3 linked regions of the Diceros bicornis minor genome follow. The protein of the gene in region 1 interacts with the protein of each later gene in a biochemical or structural test. Links are inferred from orthologs where the notes say so. Each region holds a gene or a part of one and is shown on either strand. Other genes may lie near its edges.

Region 1 (7,332 bases):
CTGGGTTTCTGAGAACCACAGCACCAGAAGGAAAGAACAGTGCAACCTCATCATCTGAAATCTGGCAGCGACATGAGGTGCCTGCCATCCCTCACCTCATGGCACAGGCAATCAATAGGCAGCTGCAGGCAGAGGGACTACTGCCCCCTGTCCTCCCACCTACCGAGTCAGAGAGGAAGGAGTTAGGATCAGTGGGAGAGAAATGGTACAGTAGCAGCCACCACCCCCTGAAGCACTAACTCCAAACCCACACCAGGATGCCAGATGCCCCCTCCTCAGGTCCCATGTCCCTCCCTCCCACCTGGGCCCACACTGAAGTTCTGGCTAGGCAAGGACTCCAACAGTGAGATGAATCAAACAGTTCCAGTTCTACACGCATTTCTATTTTATTATGGCAAAGGTGAAAACACCACCTTCTCCACAACAGCAATCAGTAAAATTTATCCCAAAAATAACTTGGTACAAAACAGGTCTGTTTCAGAATTAAAAAAAAACAAAACAAAACCAAAAAACAAAAAAAACCTTTACAAGAGTTTTAAATCCTATTTTAAAACATAAAAGAAACAAATCCATCATTGGCCACACAGCCCCAGTCTGCCACCCTCCTCCCGTCAGGGAGCGCACACGAGATGTCTGGGTCCTGTCCCATGCACGGATTTGCTGGTCTGTTTAACTGGTGTCCATCTGAAACACAGGTAAAAAGAGGTTCTCACTCAAAACAGGGTCCCACACACCAGTCGGGCTTTGGTTGGCCCCAGCCTGGCCCTCGTCTGGGACTTACTCTTGCGTTATAAGCATCCAGCTGGGCGTCCAACTCCTCTGCAGAAAGCTGCTGCTTTGAACTCCTGCCAGTGCCTCTGCCCCTGCCCCGGCTGCCTCCACGGGTGCCTCTCCGGGAGCCACCACCACCGAAACCTCCAGAACCACGGTTTCTAGTCATTCCACCTCTGTTTACACTAGCAAGGAAAAGGAGACTCATTTCCATAAATGGAGAGGCCTGAAAGATGAGCAGCCACACAGGACAGGCCAACCCCATCCCAGAGGCCCCACAACTCACCTCTGTGCAGGTCTCCGCTGTGTGTCAATCTGTGATGTGACAAGCTGAATGTTCATGGGGCGGCCTGTGGCAAAGAATACAAGAGGGCACATTCCAGTTAGAGGATTCTGAGACTTGCCCAGGTGGCACCATACCCTGATCTCCATGCAAGCACTGGAAAGGCGCTTTGTGTGCCTCAAAGGCTCCTGACAAGAGATATGGCCTGGAGATACTGCCGGGAGAATAAGACGGCACCAACGACAACCCCAGCAACACCTCGCTCTTTCTTAGTCCAGTTGAGGTGGGTGTCTGTTCAGGTGTCCAAGGTGCTCACGGGCAGAAAGATGTGGGTGATCTGATGGAAGAACTGGTACCTTTGTCTTTATGACTATAGCCCCGAACTCAGAGATGTACTATAGCAGTTCTGAGAAGACTTCACGGAAGTGAATCTTCCGGAAGGAGCTGAAGGAGGGGAGGGATGTAGCTTGCTGGATGGGGGTTCACAAGAGGTTGGCTCAGATGTGTGGGGCAGCACGAGAGGTGTCAGAATAGAAGAGAGAGACAAAGGGGTGAATACAAAGTGCCTTCAGCCAGAGAAGTAAGCCGTATTCCTGCATGGACAGGTGCCAGCCCCAAACTCCACAAACTAGATACAGCCCTCAGTCTTCCTGGGCTGACCCCAAACGCACCATCCAAAGGGACACCGTTGTACTGTTTCATAGCTTTCAGGGCATCTGCCTTCCGTTCAAAGTGCACATCAGCTGTTCCTAAACTGCGGCCAGAGCGATCATAGTGCACGGCCGCCTTCTTCAGAGTTCCAAATTCAGCAAAGAGTTCCTGGGAATTGGAAAGAGCAGCTGTTAGCAAAGCTGTTTTTCTTCTGGTGGCCCAGGGACAATCCCTGGAAGTGTGAGCTGCTTTGGGGATATTTCCCTGGGAGGCAGACTTACGTATGGGGGGCAGGGCAGTGGTAGCGGGAACTGGGGGAAGGGATGGGGCAGGTGGGACAGCAACTTCCAGGAGCAGCTGGGCCTGAGGGCTCCTGCCAACTTGGGGACCTGACACCTATACTGTGATGCAGGTAAAGGATCACAAAGCCCACCAGTGAAAGGCACGAGACTAAGTCACTATCTTCTTCGACAAAGGAAAATTTACAACACACTCAAGGACTGTGCCAAGAAACAGCAAAGGCCAACATCACAGAGCAAGGGATGCTATCTAACATGTGGACCAGCTCAAAGGGCCCGCTGATTCGGGAGCCCTGACCCAGCCCCTCCCCCAGGGCAGATTCTGGCTCACCTTTCCCTCTCCTCCTACTCAAGCCTGCCGCAAAGTCTGAAGTCAAGCGCTGCCATGGAAACTGCCCTGACCTCAGGCAGGCTGGGAGTTGGAGAGGGAACCCAGAGTGTGGGGCTACTCCGGCCGCAGGCACACAGCGGGAAGTGGAGTTCACCAAAAGCGGTTTCCAGTGGATGCCAGAAACCACCTTAAAAAAAGTGTTGAGACACTGTGAGTGCTCACCAGCCTTGCTCTGTCCTCCCACGGTAAAGTCAAACGCCTGGGCTCTGGGAAATTTAACCCAGGAAGGCCCAGTACCCTGACCCAGCCATCTCCAAGACTGACCCCCAAAATATTGTTACTAAACCAGAAAAGAAGTTTAAACGCGTTCGGAATTCAATCAAAAAAAAAAAAAAAAAAAAAAAAGGCTTCAACCAAAGATGGGTTTGAGAATCATGCCACTAACAAGACCCAGGGGGATGGTGATAAGTGAGACAACATGACACAAGTTCCTTATGAGACACAGGGCTCAAGGCAAACAGAGCTGGAAAGATGACCGGCACCATCCTGCTTCTGTGCTTTTCCAGTTCTACAAAAGAAAATCTTTCTCCTCCCAACAAATCATTAAAACAGGTACTAATTAAAGCAAGCAAGCAGCCTAGCTTTATCAGTAACACAGGAACGACTCATATCTAACCAGTCTTTTCCTGTTAGAAACTGGGAACCCCGGCAGAGGATTTCCACTCACAGAACACATCTTAGTAAGGAGCAGCAACTCCTTAGACCAAGCTGGGGGCCTGTCTCCCAACACAAACTGACCTACTTGTGGGACTTTCAACTCTGGCATGACCTCTGCTTTGCACTCCTGCCGCCCCTTACAGGGGACAGCCGCTAGCTCTTGGGTGCCTGGGAGGGCTCACTGTCTTAAGATGGGGGGGGACTTCAGGGCCACATCCCAAACAACACGACCGATTCCGTGCAGGGTGAACTGCTCACCGAGAAGCTCCAAACCCTTACCTGAATATCAGCGTCGGATACTCCAAAATCCAGATTTGACACCAGCAGTTTCCCACCCGTCTCCACGCCGGCACCACCCCCAAATCCGCTGTCGAAAAGGTCGTGTTGCCATTTGTCAGGAAGTTGTTTCGGCTGAAGGAAAAGAAAAACACCAGAACAGAAACAGACCCATTGAGTCTCACTCCAGGGCTCTCTCGCGCGCTCACGGCCACGGCAAGACCCTCTCCGATCGGAGCCCGGAGAAGAGAGCCCAGAGGACACTGCAGTCCTCCGCTTCCCGCCTGCGCGCGCTGGGCCGCAGCCGACCCCGCCGAGGCCCCATGCCCCGCAACTTCTCGGTTCCCTCCTACGAACGTTCCGCCGCCAGTGCGGCCGCGCCCTACACCCCCTCCGCCCCCGGCGCCACGAGGCCCGGCGCCCAGCCGAGACAAAAGGCCGGCAGGGTCTCCGCCTCCTAGGCCCGGCCGGCCGCGCGACCTCCCCGTCCAGCCCGGCGCCCGAGCCACCGGCCCGGCCCGGCCCGCTGTCCTCTCCGCCACGCGCCGCCCCGCCGCGGCCGGCCGGCCTCCGCACTCACCCTGCTGTAGGGCGCCGGCCGGTTCCTGCCGCCGCCGCCCGCAGCGCCGCGGGCGATGGCCGGCCGGTTCCGGATGGGCCCGCCGCCGCCTCGGTTCACTCGCGCGGCGGCCTGCGCACCGCCGCCACGGCCGCCCTGGGAGCCGGCCCGGCCGCGGCCCCGGCCCCCGCCGCGGCCGCCTCGCTGGCTTCGGTTCAGCTTAATGATGTCGTCCAGAGACATGTCCATTTTGTCGGCCATGGCGGGCGCGGAATCGGCCTCAGCTAGAGCCCGCGCGTCAGCACGCTGGAGCGTCACTTCCGGCGCCGCGCGGAGGCTTCCGGTGCCGCGTACTCGGAGCGGCCGCCGATTGGCTGCAGGCGGGCGGGGGCAGCGGGGCGGAGCGGCGCGTGCGCGATAGGACGCGAGGCTCGGCTAGCGCAGCTGCGAGGTGCTGGGAGCTGGCCCCGGTCGTTTTTGTACCTTCCCGCGCCGGCGGCGCTGCCAACGGAAGGCGGGCGGGGCGGCGCGCGATTCGCCGCGGAGGTGCGAGGGCGCGGCCGTTGGGGCGGGTCCGGGCACCGCCCTTCTCCCTTCCCGGGCGGCGGGGGGCGCGGGGCGGTGCGGCCGGGGTCGGGAGCCTCCCCGCCTCGGGCGAGTCCGGTGTGGGGCGCAGGACGCGCGCACTGGGTGGCCTTCCCGGGGAACTGGCGGGCGGTCGGTGTTCGTCTGTCACCACGGGTAGTCCGCGCGGCCCCCTGTTGTTACTACCGAAGCCAGAGTGCCCCTCGCGGGCGTCCGGGCGGAGCGTGCGGCCGACGCAGGTGCCCTAGATGAGTGGCCAGCCTCAGTCGCGGGGCTCCCGCTCTCCCAGGGGCAACCACAGCCCGGCCGCCCTCTCGGCGGCTGCCGGACTCTCAGGGCTCGGACGGCGAGTCCCGCGGGCGCAGACCCTCGGGCTCCGGGCAGCGCCTGTCCTTTGGTGCTGAAACGCTGAGCTCTGCAGACTAAATGTTGTCGGGTGCTCTTTTCGCTCGCCCGCAGGCTCCGCCGCCATGAAGGTGAAGATCAAGTGCTGGAACGGAGTGGCCACTTGGCTCTGGGTGGCCAACGACGAGAACTGTGGCATCTGCCGGATGGCCTTCAATGGCTGCTGCCCGGACTGTGAGTGTCCCCTGTGCCCGCTGCCTCTGAGCTCTGCCTGCTCGTCCGGCCTCGGCGTCTCCCCAGAAATATCTGCACGAAGTTCTTGGGTTTGGGTTTCCCTTTCCTCCAGAAAAGTTGACAGAAACAAGCCAGGCGGTTTGGGCCGTTATTTGTATAAAGACCCCATCAAAAGTTTTGTAAGAAAAAAATGGTGCAGGGCCGGCCCCCTGGCTTAGCGGTTAAGTGCCTGCGCTCCACTACTGGCGGCCCAGGTTCAGATCGCGGGCGTGCACCAACGCACCGCTTCTCTGGCCATGCTGAGGTCACGTCCCACATGCAGCAACTAGAAGGATGTGCAGCTATGACATACAACTATCTACTGGGGCTTTGGGGAGGAAAAAAAAAAAGAGGAGGATTGGCAATAGATGTTAGCTCAGAGCGGGTCTTCCTCAGCAAAAAAGAGGAGGATTAGCATGGATGTTAGCTCAGGGCTGATATCCCTCAAAAAAAAAAAACCCCCCCTCCCCCCAAATATGGTGCAGCTTTTTTTCATGATCAGACTTGGCTATGAAACACATGGGACAAAAAGATGTGTGAAAACTTTTTATTTGAAAATTCTTAACCAAACAAAAAAATGGAATGTTATAAGGACACCCCCCCCCCCAATCCGGCACATAGACTGACAATGGATAAGTAAGATGTTTTGGTATTTGTTTTATGTTTTAGCTGAATGGTTTTCAACTAAGGGCCAGCCCCGTGGCTCAACTAAATGATAATTGACATCTCACCCCACTCACTTCAGCTGCATCTCTAAATGTAACGCTGTTTTTACCCAGCACTGTTGTCACATCAGACAACATGACAGTTCCTTAGTGTCACTCCCCATTCTTAGTCCTTGTTCATATTTCTCCAGTTGTCCCCAAATGTCTTTTCATTCTTGGGTGGTGTGAGCCAGGACTGCACATCTGGTTGCTCTGTCCCTTAGCTATTTAATCTAGAACATCCTTTCTCTGCCTTTGTCGCTTTTTTTAAGATATCTGACTCTTAGAAAGTTGGTGTGTTGCCTTGCAGAATGCCTACTGTCAGCTTTTATCAGTTTCTTCTTTGTGAGGCCTTTGGATTGTTCCTTTGTTCCCAGTATGTTCTGTGAAGTAGAAAATATTTAATTATATATTTGTCAGAAGCAGATTTTTACACCTGTGAATTTAGTTTTCGGTCAGACCCAAGTGAACATGAAGCAGAACGGGGGTGACGGCTTTGCCTAGGGGGTGGTGCCCCAAGGAAAGTGGGCTTGGGGAGTGCTGCCGAGCTCCGTGCTGCCCCGGGGGTGACCAGGCCTGGTTTTGGGGGCGAGGTGAATGCCCAGAATAATCATAGGGCTTTGCTTCTTACAGTGAAATTCAAATCGTTGACTTTTAGTGCAAATACTATTTTATTCTAGGCTTAATGTTTACATCTGCCTTGGCTGAAAGGAAATCGCATCACCCAGGAGTTAATCCATCCTGATTTAATCAAACAGGCAGAATGTAATCTTAGGAAATAATTGATTGGCTCTACTTGGCCAGGTTTTGCTTAGTAGCAAATGAGAATAGCAAGGCACAAGATCTGTCTCATCTAATCTGTTTTAAATCTCCCTTCCTGAGGGTACAACAAAGGCTGTGGGAGCCTAAAGGGACAAGTGTTTGCAGTTTCCTAAGCAACAGATTGTTATTTTGTGAAAAGACAAGTTCTGGGAAGCATGTGACCTCAGCCCATTGTGGGCCAGTGCACTTGTGTGTTAAAGATGGCACCTGTGGGCCAGCACACGTACCATTCCAGCTGTGCCCAGGGCTGGGCGTCTCCACGTTTGCGGGCATGCTCAGGTTTTGTTGAAGTGGGTCCGTTGGCTGCAGAGAGTAGGAGGTTTGGAGTCTGATCTTCGGACCTGCTGGTTGTTAAGTTAGAGTGGGCCGATTGTAATATGCGAAGCGTTTGACAAGCCTAATAAGGTGCTTTCTATCCAGGTTAAGTGACATTGGGTTTCTGTTACTAAACTTGAACTCCTGTGAAAAATCCAGAGTGACTAAGACTGTAATAAATCTGCTCCATGTCCAGAGGGCTTTGGGAATAAAAGTCTTGTTAAGAGGTGTTTTAAATAAAGGACTTCTATTAAGACACTAGCAAGCTCTTGGTGAGTCACTGTCATTGTGAGTCACTGTCATCTCGCTCTTGTGCTCATCAGATGCCTCAGGCAGACGCTAGAATGAAGCAGCTCCTTTGTCCAAACGAGCCCTGCCACAAATGGACAGGGTGGCTTCGT
Region 2 (7,220 bases), on another chromosome or scaffold:
GAATAGGTTTCTTGCAGGTACTTCTTAAAGGCTGGAAGAGAACAGGCAGGTCTTGGTGAGCGTTGGGGACAGGAGTTAAGGTGGGCAAGAGGGCAGCTTGACCAGGGATGCACAGGTGGGGGGAATCTGAGGGGTGTTCCCAGCACAACAGATTCCCCCTCTGCTGCCCACTCGGTCAGGTCTCCTGGATGGGCCCTGCTGCCAGTGAGACTGGGGAGACTTAGTAGCAAGTCATTTGCACAAGGCTGCCTTCTGCTTAAAAAGCCCCTCAACCTACCTTAATGTTTTCCACATTAGGGATAATTTTCTGATTTTATAGCACACAGGCAAACCAGAATCACCAGGGCAGAGGAAGAACTGGGTTATGTGGCTTGACACCCAACCCCGAGCCCCCTCCAGACCCAGTCCTCAGGACACATTCCCAAGTCACTGGAATCCTTTTGTTTGAGGGAGCCTTGAAGACTGGGGAGGGATCACCCTGTGCCCGAGAAGGACAAAGGACCCACCTGTGGGGTTTTTCCAGAGCTCAGCAGCATGTGTGTTCAAAGGGCTATCAATGTTGGGTTCTGTGGGTGGGGAGAAAAAGAGAATGGTCAGGGGGTAGAAGAGGCTGGCCCCGGGAGTCCTGACAGGTTCCTAGGTTGCAGGGGAGGGGCTGGTCTCAGAAGTCACCTCCTAGCAGGCTCTGGATGGAGAGCAGGATGGTCCTGACGTCATACAGGGCAGACCACTTGTCCTTCAGGATGTCCAGGCAGATGTTACCCTGGGTGTCCACGTTGGGGTGGTAGCAGGGTGTGAGGAACTTCACGGTGGGCGCGTTGTAAGGGTAGCCACTGGGGAACTCCAGGGAGAGCTTATACCTCAGGTCTTCGTATACCTGGCGGTGGGGAAGTAGAGGCGGGGAGTAAGCTTCCCCACCCTGAGGCTCATATCCCAACCCAAGCCCGCATAAGGGGCTTGGCCAGGACCTTGAAGTTTGTCTGGGACTTGACAGAAGACAAAGTCTTACACTGGTTCTGGTGCTCTCTCTCTTATCTGGGGGACATCAGTGATCCCTGGTCTAAGGTTGTAAATTAGCATCCTGAGGGCTACCACAGCTGTGCTTTAGTCCAGTTAGATCATTAGTTGCTAACATGTAAAAATTAGGAGACGTAGATCTAGATTTCTGACTCATCTTAAACCAGATGTGCAGCAATGGGAAGCTGCCATCTTGAGACTTGTGCCCTCCCATTGGCCAAAGTCCTCACTGGTCTTCCATTCTTTTCCGTGCTGTCTGGCCCCCTCTATGCATCTAAGATGGAGAGCCCTGCTTTAAATCCACCTTCTTACTGTACAGAGGGAGAGACCAGGGCCACTGGCTCAGAGCAGGAGAACAGACGCAGGGGAGCGTCCTGCCAGGCTAAAGACAGAAGCAGATCTAGCGCTTGGATCTCACCTCCTACCTCTCCCCAGACCCAGCAAAGTCACCAACACTACACTTACTGTGCCAGCTGCTCCATGGATGGTCCCCACCCATTTGAAAAGGTTGTCTGATTCAGGGAAGGCAGAAATTCCTTTGTCGCCAGACATCTGGGGAGGAAACACAACACCTGCTGGGCTGCAGAGTACACTTTGGAGAACAGCAATGGGGGTCAGTGGGTGAACCCCTTCCCCTTAATCTCATCACTTTTTGATTCAAAATAAAGCAACCAGACCAAATTGGTAGGCTTCTCTGAGGATGTGGTTAGACTCTTGGGGCTGTACATGTGCCTCTGGGGGGGAGTACTGGGATCATGTACCCATAATCTTGTTGGTTGCTGGGAATTCAATTCAGCATGCTATTGAGTGCCCGTTATGTACAAAGCCCAGACACTATTCACAGACTAGAGAGATATACAATATGGGCATTCAACTTGAGTTGAATATTCAGGGTTAATGTAGAAAAGGTCATCTAGGAAGGAGTCATTCCAAGATATGACAGGACTAGAAATACTAAGAAGGGTGGAGAGTTGGGTGTGGGTAAATCTTAGGGCAGGGAAGTAGGGCCAGGGCAGGACAGCGGGGAGGCCTGTATGGCTTCTGGGAACTGTATTGGAGAAAACTTCACTGTGGGGGGATGGGATTGGGAGTAGAGGCTGCTGGAAGAAAAGGTGTAGGTGAGGTATATTAACTTCAACCCAGAAAAGAGCAAACTGGACTCATCTTTTTACCCCCATGTCTGGCAAAGAGCCTGACGTAGGAAAGGAGGCTACTGATAAGTGAGTGGAAGGTGGGAGGGTGGACCAACTACTTGGGGATCTGGGCAGGTAGTCACTCACCATGAGAGTCATCAGCTCCTGCTGTAGCCTGCAAAAAGAGCATTTGGGGTCACCTGGGAGTCTGGATGGGCCAAGGCTTCGGGGGATGCATCTCCTCCCACCCCAGTCTCTCTGGAGCAGTTGTCATGGGGACATTTCTCTACCCTGAGAGGTCAGATTCAGCTGGGGACTCCTCATGGCCATTTCCATAGGAGGATTTTATTGAGTCCTCACCCTCCCTGATTCCAGGCTCCCGCCGGACGGTTCTGGCGTGTTGTTAACCCCTACTGCTCCTCTGGCGTCTGTCTCCGTGCCGGATCTCAATTTTCCCTCTCCTCTGGCCCCCGCCAAGCCACCGAGGGTCCCCGGCGCATCTTCATGTTGGCTCACCCGAGGAGGATCCTGGCAGCATGACTACCCCTTCCGTCCTCCTTGGCAGGGTCTCTAAGAGCGGCCCAAGCGCTTGGCGTGTCCCCCCACCTCCCAGATCTCACCCGCTCCAGGAGGAGGTGGGGGTCCCGGAAGTCTTCGCTCTGGGCCCCACTGCTCAGGTCGTGCCAGGCCCGGAGGCTGTGACCCCTGCATCACTCACCTTTTGCCCACAGGGCCACGGGCGGCGCCCCCACTGGGCTCGGCTCCTTTACGGGCGGCGGCGACGCTGGCGGCGGCTGGGTCGCGGTTCTGGGAGGCCATCCGCGCGGCGCTGGCGGGGAGACAGGAACTCGGAGAACACCGCTGCAACTGCAGGGCTGCGGACCCGGCCGCCCGCGTTTGAATTGTAACTCTCCGGCAGCGCGGGCCAATCAGCGGCCCGCTTGGGTTTGATCCAGCCAATGGGGCGCGCCGCAGCGCTCTGTCACCACGCAACTGCTAGACCCACCCACCCACCGGCGCATCACTATTGGACGGCGGAATCTTGCTTCTGAGGGGCGATTGGCAGATGAGGCCGCCATTAACTAATGCGTCTGTAGCAGATTGGTGGCCTTTGGAAAACGCCAACCATTAAAGGGCCAAGAAAAAGTCCACGTGGGATGAGCCCCTTTAGGTCAAACGCCTCAGAACTGCCGGGAACACGAGGCACGCCCAGACAGGATCCCTACTCGCAGGGGAATCGCCCAGCACTGGTACCCTTTCCTCAAACCGGAAACCCCGCCCCCCCCCCCCCCCCCCCCCCGTTATAAGATCTTGAACATCTTTATTAGGGCCCTAAGTGTCTGAAAATTCATGCGAGGGGAAAAACTAGAGGCTGATGGCCAGAGCGGGAGACTCCCTATTAGAAAACAGGTCCATGTGCTGCCTCTCCAACGGTTTGCTGTGGCCTTAGGAACATCATTTAGTGTTTTAACCTGTAAAATGGGGGTAATAAAAGCCTCTCCACATTTTTCATATGGTCTGTCATCAACCCCCTATGGTGCCAGCACGCACATTCTGCTACTTCCATACCTTAGTTGGGTATGGAAGGAAATGAGAAAGAGGGACAGGGAAGGTTGGCAAGGTACATGGTGTTCCCACCTTTGTCTCATGAAGCAGATGTGCACGGGGCAGAGGGACTTTCCTGGGTCTACCCTGGGATGGGGGAGGGGCACATGGTCCTGGTTTCCTATATCCACCTCTTCTAGAACCCTTGATGTTTTGTCAGCCCCTACAAGGCAGACGGCACAGCAGGCTCACCATCTGTGTTTATTACAAACTCTTTAATTGCTTCCTATCCCAATAACTTTACAAATGTAGAACTACATGCCAGTCTGGGAGCGCTCTGCAGTGAGTCACTACAAACTAGCCCAGGCACAGCTTAATGCTGCTGAGATCCATCCCAGTGGTGGCCTCAGCCACGTGGGTAAGAGGGCTTCAGAGGAAGGCTGCCAAATGTAGCCAGGGGACATGGCTTCAGGTCTGTGGAGGTGCTTCAACAGCACGATGCTCATTCTCTGTCCGTAGTGTCTCCATGTACTTTCGCATCTTCTCAACCATCCAGGAGGGTAGGACAAAGGATTTCAGCTCCTCTAACTTTAGGTCCAAACATCCTCTGGAACAGAAATGAGGAAGAAAGTTGCAGCAAAGGAGGATATAGGCCCAGGCTCATCCCAGGGACTACTGTGAGGCAGGGGGAAAGGTAGCAGACAGATCACTGGTTTTACCTGTAGTCATCGCTGGCAGCGAGGTCCCGGATGTCCTCCTCAATGAGGAGGTAGGCCTGGGGCAGGAGCAAAGGAGAGTAGTCATTGCCTGTGATTCATTTCAGTTCAACTTAATAACATTTTATTAAACATCTGCTTACTCTAAGGGCTGGAAGGGAGGTGGGCATAGTTACAATTTAGTAGGGGAGAGTTAGTAGGGAGACTGGGGAATTGTTCCCTGAGACAATCTTTCACTCAAATAGAAACTTTATTGGTGGGGGAGTGGGGACTGGTGACTAAATTATTTACAGCCTCCTCCTCTTCTGAAAAAGGACCCTGAAGTAGCTTAAAATAAAATGGCAAGAGAGCTAGCAAAATATACATGGAAACAGGAAATCAGGAGGAGGAAGCCATATGTTAACTCTAGGAGCTAAGATGATTTGGTTTTGAACTTTGTGGCAAAAGGGAAAACGTGATAAACTGCACGGCTGTCTACTAACTAGGCTGTATTGCCTGGGGTCTGCAGAATGGCTTTGACACAATGCCATGATCTGCAGTGGGAGAGAGCCCTCTTGTGAGCTTACCATACGGGGGATGTTGTTCCTCACATGAGCAAGTCTTCTGTGGAAGACACTTCTGTCTAGTTTTAGGGTCAGGAATAATTGTGTGTCCCTTGAGTAATCTGACTGTCTTCATCTTACGGGCATTGTGAACTATGTAACAGATCAGGTGTCCCTGAGAGGGTCCTGGAGCTGAATTTGTGTGAACCCATAGAAGTACACTCGTCTCCCAGGTCAGCAATTAGAAAAACACTTTTTTAAAACTAGTCTTGTTTGTGGCTTAATTTTAGATCCTGCCTTTCCTTTTTCCCCCTATTTCTTATTTATATTATGTTGTATTTTCTGTATCAATGGTAAGTTCCCTGAAATCTTTTTTCAAACAAAGAGTGTAGGCATAAGTAGAGTAGTAAAATAAAAGATAGCTTTCCCTGCCAGAAAGGAGAGGGCATACTGGTTTGCAAGGCCACTGAATTTTTAACAGTCCCAGCGGTGGCACTAAGTTGAGTCCTCAGCTGGGGGACACCGCATGTGATGGACAAAGCCCTCCACAACAGTTTTAGAACACATGCAACAATGATTTTCCTAGGGTTGTTGCTTGATATGAGCTGAGAACTCTTTAAGTAGAGGTGATTCTGGAAGCTGCTGCCAAATGTGGCAAACAAGTTTCATTGCATGTATTAACCCCTATGGATGAGGGGTGCCGCCTGGAGTACTGTGTTGAGAAAAGACTCTATAGCTGTGTCTGGTGGAAGAGTGTTATGACCTATGAGTGAAATCTGTTAATGGCACACAAGAGAAAAGTAGTGTTAAGTGTGTTTTGTACCTGTCATTCTTATGCAAAGCTAATACAATCTAAATAGGAGGGATGACGTGGTAGGGCGAGGGGGTGCTGTGTGGGAGACCTAGGGACAGGGAAGGGAATCCAGGGATTACAGCCTGCTCTTCAGCATGAAGGAATGGGCCCTCTCTAACCATACAAGTCTCCCTGTCCACATTCATCCTGGAGAGCTTTGAGAGTCTCTCAGATTTGGAGGTAAGCTGCCACCAATAGCCAGAACCCTGGTCCCTGGGCTGGATGGGTCTTTGGCAGTGGCACGTGCGAACAATGCTTACCATCTTCCCCCCTGTTGCCCGCATGTGATGCTGCTCAGCCAGCCAGTGCTTGTCCTGGGGGTCAGCTGCATACTGTGAGGGATGAAGTCACAGACAGGCATTAGTTTGGCGCAAGGGGCTTTTCTCATTTGGTCCCAGAGCATACTCTTGGCCCTTGAGCAGTTCTGACCAACAAGACCTTGTCCTAGCCTGGTGGCTGTAGTGGGCTCACCAACCTCTTCAGAGCTAGTGGAGCCGAGCCCAAGAGGCCAGGGTATGGGACCCAATTCCCAGAGGTTTAGTACACCTCTAATCCCCACCCCCTTCTTTTCTCGAAACACAGCATCTCTGGCAACTGGTCAGACTGGTGACTCTTATTTTAGAGCTCTACCCCTCTTTGAAATAATGGTCTGCGGTAGCTTACAACACATGTGATTATTATAGTGACCGTATTTTCTAAAACAAAAATCAGGACACTTCATGATCTGGGGGGATGTGGTATAGCATCACGGTTAAGAACCTGGCTTTGGAATTAGACAAACAAGGTTTAAATTCCAGTTTCTGCCACTTATTTTATTTTATTTTTTTGTGAGGAAGATCAGCCCTGAGCTAACATCTGCCAACCCTCCTCTTTTTGCTGAGGAAGACTGGCCCTGGGCTAATATCCGTGCCCATCTTCCTCCACTTTATATGGGACGCCGCCACAGCATGGCTTGACAAGCAGTGTGTCGGTGTGCGCCCGGGATCCGAACCTGCGAACCCTGGGCCACCGGGCTGCCACAGCGGAGCGTGCGCGCTTAACCACTTGTGCCACTGGGCCGGCCCCCTCTGCCACTTATTGACGGTGTAAACCTGGGCAATAATTTCCTTGAGACTCAGTTTCTTCATTTGTAAAACAGAGAGGATTAATACTTATCTTACAGGGTTGTTGTTAAAAATAAATGAGATAGTGGTTAAAAAGTGCTAAATATAGTATCTGACACATAATAAGTGCTTAATAAAGGTAGGTTTTATAAAATAGGCCGAGTTGGGAAATCTGGGCTATACGGTTACTACTCTTTGAGTTTAAATAATCATTTTATTTCCCAAGTAATATAAGTATCAGTCAAAGTTTTAAAATTTCTGATCCAGCAATCCCATTTCCAGGGATTTATCCTTTAGAATCACTCAAACAC
Region 3 (7,779 bases), on another chromosome or scaffold:
AGTACGTCCTAATAACACATACTGTGGGTTAAATATAATGCTTCATACGTTCTTACTCTTTCATAATATCTGTAAGGGAAGCATCTCTTTCCCCTCTATATACTATTGCAGTTTCTCCCTGAACTCTCATTTACAAATGGAGAGAGACATATACACATGTATTTAAAATTTCATAAGACTCTTTCTGTCATATATATTCCTGAATTCCTCTCTTTCTATGTACGTGTCTCAAACTTTTCTACCACACTAACCCTTAATGAGTAAACGGGGTCCTATCTCTGTTTCTCTTAAAGACTGAATGCCTTAAGAGTTATATTGTCTCTATTTCCTCATCTTCTCCTTCCCTCTTCAATCACTCTAATTTAGCTTCCATCCCTTAGCACTTCAAAGAGTCACCAGTAAGTTATCAATGATCAATGTGCTAAATCCACTGGACATTTTTCAGTTCTGTTCCCTCTCATTTTGATATATTCTTATCCCTTGGCTTATGTGACACTATACTCTCCTGGATTTTCTTGTACCCCTTTCCCTGCTCCTCCTGTCTCCTTTGCAGGTTCATCTGTTTCTGCCCAGTTATTTAATTTAGGATTCCACAAGGCTGAGTCCTAGAGCATCTTTCTTTACTCTGAACTCCACCAGTGGACAAGCTCATCTATTTCCAAGGCTTCAATAGCCACAACATACCACTGTTGGCTCTCCAACTTATTTCTCTATTCCAGATCTTTTATCCGAGCTTCAGATACACAGGTCCTACTGCTTACTTCACAGCATCTCCACAGAGGTCCCAGAGACACCTAAACTCAACAAATTTTAATTCAAATTCATGATCTTCTCCAAGAAATCTAGTCTCCTTCCACTGTTTCCTCTCTTAACAAAAGACACCACCATCCATCCTTTTACATAAGTGTTCCAGCAAATCTCCATATCTATTTTATCATTAAGAATTGTTATTTTCACCTTCTGAATGTCATTCAAATTCATCTACTTCTCTCTTTCTCAATGCTACGAGCTTCACGTTATTTTTTCCTTCTAGTTTCCTGCTAGCCCATCCAATCAATTCTCCACACTGCAGCATTATTTTTTCAAAACACAAATTTTAAATACAATCATAGCACATCCCACTACCCAAGCTTAAAACCCTCCAATGCAGCGCTGTCCAAGAGAAATATAACGCCAGCCCTATATACCATTTAAAATATTCCAGTAGCCACAGTAAGGAAAAAGAAACAGGTAAAATTACTTTTGCACTATCTAACCCAATATATCCAACATATTATCATTTCAACATAAGAAAAAATAAACTAAGTCTTTAATATCTTATCTGAATAAGTGTAAAATAGATATTTTACACTTATTCAGACTAGCCACATTTCAAGCCCTTAAAAGCCACAAGCAGCTAACAGCTATCATACTGGGCAGTGCAGCTTCAATGGCATCTTATAACTCTTACTCTAAAAACCGCTGAGACACAGTCCTGGTCTGGCCGGGCCCAAGTACCATGTCTGAGGCCTAGGACGGCGGCTTCTTTTTCGGTCCCTGGTCCCCGGTCCCCATTCCCTCCTCAACCTGGCGTTCATCACCCCCGTGACCCATTTTCTGAGGTTCCCCAGCTTCACCTACCCCCCACCGCCAACTTCTCACAATATTTCCTTACCTAGCGCGCCGCAGCCAGCCCCAAACCCACGGCACAGTAACGAAGCCGATCTGTCAATGTTTACTTCCTGGCTTTCCGCCCCCTCCCGGCAGCCACTGCGGTACCTTCCGGACGATCGACACATGCGCACTAACAACTCTTTGAGTGGCTCCTTTGCGACGTTGGTCTCGCGAGATCTCAAGCGGTGCCTATTTCTCTGCCCCGGGTCTGTAGGAGGGGCTCAGCTTGAGCAGCTTCTTTTGGATTCCCTGCTTCTCCGCTCGTGTTTGTTTTAGAATCGCAGAGACTTATGATGTACAGAAAAAAAGAAAAAAATTGGCACCGAGAACGGACCACAGCTTAAGCCTCACTAGAGCATTATGAAATGAATGGGGAAGTGCGTTACGCGTTAAGTTAAAAAAAGCAGTTAAAATTAGTATTAATTAGTAGCCAGGTACTGTGTTACACGCTGGGGACGTGGTGAACACCGTCTCTTTCTCTCCTCGAATTTACATCACACAGAGTGAGAAAGACACTAAAGTAATTATTCAAGTAATTTACAGTTGTAGAGAGTCGCTATGAAAGGAATGCCAGGTGCTATGAGAACGTAAGGCTATTTGGTAATTGTGACACCTCGCCTTGAAGTGATCTTGTATTTTATGATTAGGGAAAAAAATACTATAAAACGATCTCCATTTTGGGAAAACACTGGTATCCATGACATCCCAACCCTCCTTTTAAAGAATACTTATGAAATGAAATACTGGAAAATAAACAGTGCTTTTGGTAGTAGAATTTCCTCTGATTTTTTTTTTCCCTATCTGTTCTGGTGACTTTTTTTTTGTTTTTCAAAATAACATGCGTGAAGATATCTACCGTTTTTGTCTCAGTAAGAGAGCCCATCATAATATAATCTATTTTTTTCTTAAGAATTTGCAGTGCCTAGAGTTTAGGAATGGTAAATATTAATTTTGATTTTTACAGGGCAATAGATGAAGGAATAGAAAGTGTCAGGAAATAGCCTGAAAATGAATAGTCTACGAATCACCCACAGTTTGTTTTTATCTCCTTAAAACAATTCCTGAAATTTGCTTGGAAGTGTTGAGGCCTATTTGGTTAAAACCACCAGGCGCAAGCCAGGGAGCACATCTCCCAGAAGAATCAAAGAATGTGCTGGACAAGCGGGAAGAATCTTTTGTAAGGTTTGAGTTCCCCGTGAGGATTCTGATGAGGGTCTAGGGAAGCAGGGATCAGTTCTGGAAGGGTTGCTGTTTGTAAATAGGGATTAGGATAAACTGGGATTGATTAGGATCTAGGTGCTGTCATGAGGTGAGTGTGGTTTTGCAACTGGGTATCCCCAGTAATAGTTTGGAATAGCAAAGTGGGTCTGGGGCATCATTAGTTAGAAAACAGTGGTCACTCAAAGAGGGGGTGGTTATGGCATTTTACACTTACTGCATGACCTAGGGAGACACGATGCTTCCTGTTGTAAGGGGAAGATTTACCCTAGGGAGATACAAACCTTGCACCCAAAGACTTAGAAGATAGAGCATCCCCACTTGGAAGCTGTAGGTGTTGTACAGATTTGGTTTCGAAGTGAACACTTCTTCACTTTGAACTGATGGTGATGATATAATATGGAGCTGAGACATATAGAAGGGGACACAGAGGGAAAATAAGGGGAGAGGTGGGAATAAAAGAAAAAGGACAGAGAAGGGGCAATAAAGGTATGCATGATTTTTTGTCCTCCCTCTTTTCTTCGCTTTCTTGAGTAGGATCTTTTCTTGATGCCTAGCACAGTGTCCAGCATGTAATCGGCATTCAATAAATACTTGTTCAATGAATTAATCATTCAATCAATTTTGGTCCTGAAATGCCAAGGAAGAAGGGGCAATGAGCTGGCATATAGTAAGAACCATGTCTGTGCCAGGTGTAGTGTTAAACCTTTTGTGAAAGAGTAATGCGGAGTCAACTCCTCTGTCTTGATTCATCTGCAGGTTAAAATCTATCTGGTGACCTGCGGGGAGTAGGGTTTGCATGACACCGGTCAGCTTTGGTCTTTTGAATTTATTCGTTTATCGTGTATTTGTTCAATATATTTCCATTTACTATAGAAATAGGCTAAGTCCATCAACTTTTTCATAATTTCTTTTCATATCTTGAAATTGGAATTCCTTTTCTATATCTTTATTATTCCTCTAATCTTCTCTTGTTGATCCATCTGCCTTTCCGCACCAGGGCCTTCCAGGTGGCTTTCATGAATATGTATATTGTTGAGATGTTAGATGTTTAAAATAAGTCCCTATTAAATGATACAATTTTAAAGGAAGCCTGAATTATGTATTCATTAGGATCATCATTTTGTTTCTAAGTCAGATTCCTGATGCTGTAGTAGAGACAGCATCCTAGCCTGAAATGTTGAGGATAGTCCTGCAATTAGGGAATAATCAGTTCATTCTTAATCACAAGCACAACAGAATGACTCGAACATTGCTGTTTGATCTATCTGTACTTACATTTCTTCTTAATTCCTCCCTGCTAGTGTTCCTTAGACCTAATATGGATTGTCCCCACCTGACTATATATGTATTTTTTCATATCTCTAATTGAGATCCAACTATTAAATATCCATTTTTCCTCAGTGATGACAGTTTTCCAATGACTAAAATGCCTTTCCTGCAGTCTGTTTCTTCTTTTTGTTTGATTTGATCTGGTCTATTTATTCTCTGGACGAATAGTTCATTAGTTGAAGACTTTAGGAAAATAGTTCTGTTGCCACCTTGCCTTGACCTTTTTGAACCTCACAATCTTTTCATTTAAGCACGTCTTGGTCACCCAAGTGTCTCGAAAAAACCCAAAACTCTCTGTCTTGGTATCATAATAATCATAATAATAATTTATTTCTTGGAATTGGAGACCATATTCACTCCCTTTTTATCTATATGAGGAGCAGATTAAAAAAACACCTACAAGTCCACGATCAAGGTGTCAGCAGGTTTGGTTTTTTCCTTCCCAGCAAACAAGCTACAAACTTTCCGGGAAAAAGCTTTCGGGGGCGGAACCCAGGGAGCTTAGAATCCTCCCATTGGTTCTTCCTGAGCCCACCCCGGTCCCGCCCCCTGGGCGGATGAACCAATAGGGGCGTGAATTGTGGTTTAAACACGGATCCTGGCGCGACCGCTGGAGACCGAGTCTTGGGTGATTTTGGCTGTTGATCCCAACGTGGGTGAATGGGAAGGTGGCGAGTGGTTGGAGGAGCGGGGTCCGGCGAGGAAGGAGCCAGGGCGTTGGGGCTTGGGGCCCTGGGGGCCAGGGCTGGCGTCGGGGGTCGGGAGCCGGCAGCCAGGGCGTTGGGGCCTGGGGCCCTGGGGGCCAGGGCTGGCGTCGGGGGCCGGGGGCCGGGAGCCGGCAGCCAGGGCGTTGGGGCCTGGGGCCTGGGGGCTGGAGGCTAGGGCTACCCTGGGTTGTCTATGGCGCCAAGCCGGGTTGAGCCGCGGCCTCGGACTGCATCCGCTACCCACGGCGGTTTGGTTTTGATGAGTACCAGCGCCTGTGCCAGTCCCAAACCGCCAACTCTTCAGGGTCTTAGAGCCCCTGACGCAGGCTTCAAGAGTTAACAGCTGGATTAAGTGCCTGTTCGCTCCGGATCGGGCTTCTCCTTGCGCTTAGCTCTCGTTTTTGCGTGGACGAGCCCAGGGTAGAAAGTCTGGTCTGTGCTACACCATAGCTTCTCTCGTCTTCCCTAACCCCTCAGGGTCTAATATGTATTTCACATCCCTAGCTTAATCCAGAATGGCTACTCTGATCTTTGTTGATAAGGAAAATGGAGAACCAGGCACCCGTGTGGCTCCTAAGGATGGGCTGAAGCTGGGGCCTTGTAAGTATACAGGCTGCAATCCGAGACACAGGTATTGTGAATCAATTGTGAATGCGGCCTGGAGCTGGGGGAGGCATTTAGTGTACTTGGTTGGCCGTTGGAATTAAGTTTACCCAATACTGTTATTGTAACATGCTTGTTATGGGTCTCTTTTTCAGGTTCAGTGTCTTAATGAGATTATTTAAGAGGATACTGGACTGCAGTACTATTAGGCATATCATGGCCATGCCACTGTCAAAAGTGGGGGTTGGGTTTGGGGGTAAAAATTAGGCCAAGTTTACATACAGTCAGCCTTCGAGTTGCACAGGTGTTTACTGTCTGAATAATCTTATGGTAAGACTTTTTCTTCAGCAGTCAAAGCCTTGGATGGGAGATCTCAGGTTTCAACACCACATGTGGGCAAAATGTTTGATGCTCCACCAGCCTTACCTAAAACTGCCAGAAAGGCTTTGGGAACTGTCAACAGAGCTACAGAAAAGTCAGTTAAGACCAATGGACCCCTCAAACAGAAACAGACAACCTTCTCTGCCAAAAAGGCAAGTGTTAGCTATAAAGACATTATTGAAACACTTCACTTCTGACTCATAAAATGACTATTAGCATCCTCTCTGGCTTTCTTCCCTGTGAGCAGAAGGAAATATAGATAAACACAGATAGCAGAAGAGAGTCGTACTGTTTTTGTGGACTTCCTCTGTACCTCAAAACCAGAAGTCTCAGAAGCAGCTGGTGGGGCCGGCCCCGTGGCTTAGCGGTTGGGTGCTCGCGCTCTGCTGCTGGCGGCCTGGGTTCGGATCCCGGGCGCGCACCGACCCAGCGCTTCTCTGGCCATGCTGAGGCCGCGTCCCACATACAGAAACTAGAAGGATGTACAACTATGACTATCTACTGGGGCTTTGGGGGAAAAAAGGAGGAGGAGTGGCAATAGATGTTAGCTCAGAGCTGGTCTTCCTCAGCAATAAAAAAAAAAAAAAAGGATTAGCATGGATGTTAGCTCAGGGCTGATCTTCCTCACAAAACAAAACAAAAAAGAAGCAGCTGGTGAATATTTTTGCCTCACCTGCCTTTAACTAGTATCTTGAGGAAGATTGGTCGGTAGTGTCGACTTACGGATACATGAAGTAGTAAGAGCAAGGGTGTGCTTTGCAAGAGGTCACGTTCCTAATGTAATAGCTCAGGCGCTGCCATCCTCCTCCCCGCCTCCCAGAGCAAGCACCAGCTTGTTGGGTGATGATTTGCTAAAATGTTGACCTTTGTGTGCACGAGCTATAGGTCAGTGCATCCCAGAATAAGAGGACTTTGCTGTGAAAGATGCTTCAGCATGTAGATTAACACTTTATTTGAATAACTGTTTTAATGTGTATTAGGAAAAAACAGCTGCTACTTTACATCAAACCCATGACTTACGTGTAGTGCAGCTTAGGACAAGGATGTCTTTAAAAAACTGAGTTGACTTAGAAACGTTAAATACATGTATTGCAAGGATATGGCAAAAATAATGAGAATGTGACAGAACCGAAGTGTAGGAGACGCTGCGGTAGGGATTTGCTCTAGGCGTAAGATTAAATTCGGTGTAAGATTAAATTTGGAATACACAGGCTTTAGTTTTGGCCTACTACTGTCGTAGATTGCCTACCTGTCAGTTCCAGACTAAGGATTTATCCACGGTGGGCTTCTCAAGTCCTTGACTGTCTTTTGCTGCCTCTCACTCAGTCTGTGTATTTGAGAAATACAAACTTGTTTTTAATATTAACCAAGCAAATAATGAAGGTAATACTGATGGAAAAAATCACACTTCCAAAAGCCAAAAATGGCTTCTAGGACTAGCTACTATTGTGGGTGACTCATGCCCATTTTTTCCTCTGTTAGGTTGAGTGACTGAGTTGATTAGCTCTGAATTAACTCCACTCTGTGTTCTTGATAACTTATGCTGACAGGTGCCAATACTTAAATTTCAGACTTAACTTTTGAGCCACGCTACTAGAATTGCTTGCTGAATTGTATTTGTATGTAATCATGAGAACTAAGGATTATGGTTTCTTAGAAGTCAGCATGAAACTGAAAAAATTTAAACTGTGGCGAAGTGGTCACACGTCTTGAAGAAGCCCTGTGATCTCTTGTACTAATCAGTTGACAAGCCTTCCACTCTCACTAATCCATATTTTCTTGGGTTGTTTTAGATGACCGAGAAGACTGTTAAAGCAAAAACCTCTGTTCCTGCGTCAGATGACACCTATCCAGAAATAGAGAAATTCTTTCCCTTCAATCCTCT

The links. The genes of interacting proteins can lie anywhere in the genome.
Region 2: the proteins of ANAPC11 (region 1) and UBE2C form a complex in vitro, tested with the Homo sapiens proteins (66 studies listed by BioGRID). The link is inferred for Diceros bicornis minor from reciprocal best matches to the Homo sapiens genes ANAPC11 and UBE2C.
Region 3: of the proteins of ANAPC11 (region 1) and PTTG1, one has a biochemical effect on the other in vitro, tested with the Homo sapiens proteins (3 studies listed by BioGRID). The link is inferred for Diceros bicornis minor from reciprocal best matches to the Homo sapiens genes ANAPC11 and PTTG1.

The regions. Positions count from the first base shown.
Region 1 is NC_080757.1:61,219,008-61,226,339, forward strand, and holds the start of ANAPC11 (anaphase-promoting complex subunit 11), read left to right. Parts: upstream 1-4,328; 5' UTR 4,329-4,370; coding exon of another isoform or gene 4,371-4,594; intron 4,595-4,742; coding exon of another isoform or gene 4,743-4,942; coding exon 4,943-5,051; intron 5,052-7,332. Other genes in the region: ALYREF (THO complex subunit 4), read right to left, coding at 670-684, 782-956, 1,058-1,121, 1,726-1,873, 3,332-3,463, 3,909-4,322, 4,371-4,594, 4,743-4,944. UniProt on the Homo sapiens protein: Together with the cullin protein ANAPC2, constitutes the catalytic component of the anaphase promoting complex/cyclosome (APC/C), a cell cycle-regulated E3 ubiquitin ligase that controls progression through mitosis and the G1 phase of the cell cycle.
Region 2 is NC_080758.1:15,531,694-15,538,913, forward strand, and holds the start of UBE2C (ubiquitin-conjugating enzyme E2 C), read right to left. Parts: upstream 3,015-7,220; 5' UTR 2,970-3,014; coding exon 2,869-2,969; intron 2,326-2,868; coding exon 2,298-2,325; intron 1,570-2,297; coding exon 1,483-1,569; coding exon of another isoform or gene 1,474-1,482; intron 1,025-1,473; coding exon of another isoform or gene 927-1,024; intron 878-926; coding exon 673-877; intron 611-672; coding exon of another isoform or gene 567-610; coding exon 507-566; intron 32-506; coding exon 1-31. Other genes in the region: DNTTIP1 (deoxynucleotidyltransferase terminal-interacting protein 1), read right to left, coding at 4,164-4,302, 4,415-4,470, 6,067-6,138. UniProt on the Homo sapiens protein: Accepts ubiquitin from the E1 complex and catalyzes its covalent attachment to other proteins. In vitro catalyzes 'Lys-11'- and 'Lys-48'-linked polyubiquitination.
Region 3 is NC_080740.1:75,856,745-75,864,523, forward strand, and holds the start of PTTG1 (securin), read left to right. Parts: upstream 1-4,765; 5' UTR 4,766-4,855; intron 4,856-5,115; exon of another isoform or gene 5,116-5,414; 5' UTR 5,415-5,425; coding exon 5,426-5,510; intron 5,511-5,861; coding exon 5,862-6,046; intron 6,047-7,687; coding exon 7,688-7,779. UniProt on the Homo sapiens protein: Regulatory protein, which plays a central role in chromosome stability, in the p53/TP53 pathway, and DNA repair. Probably acts by blocking the action of key proteins.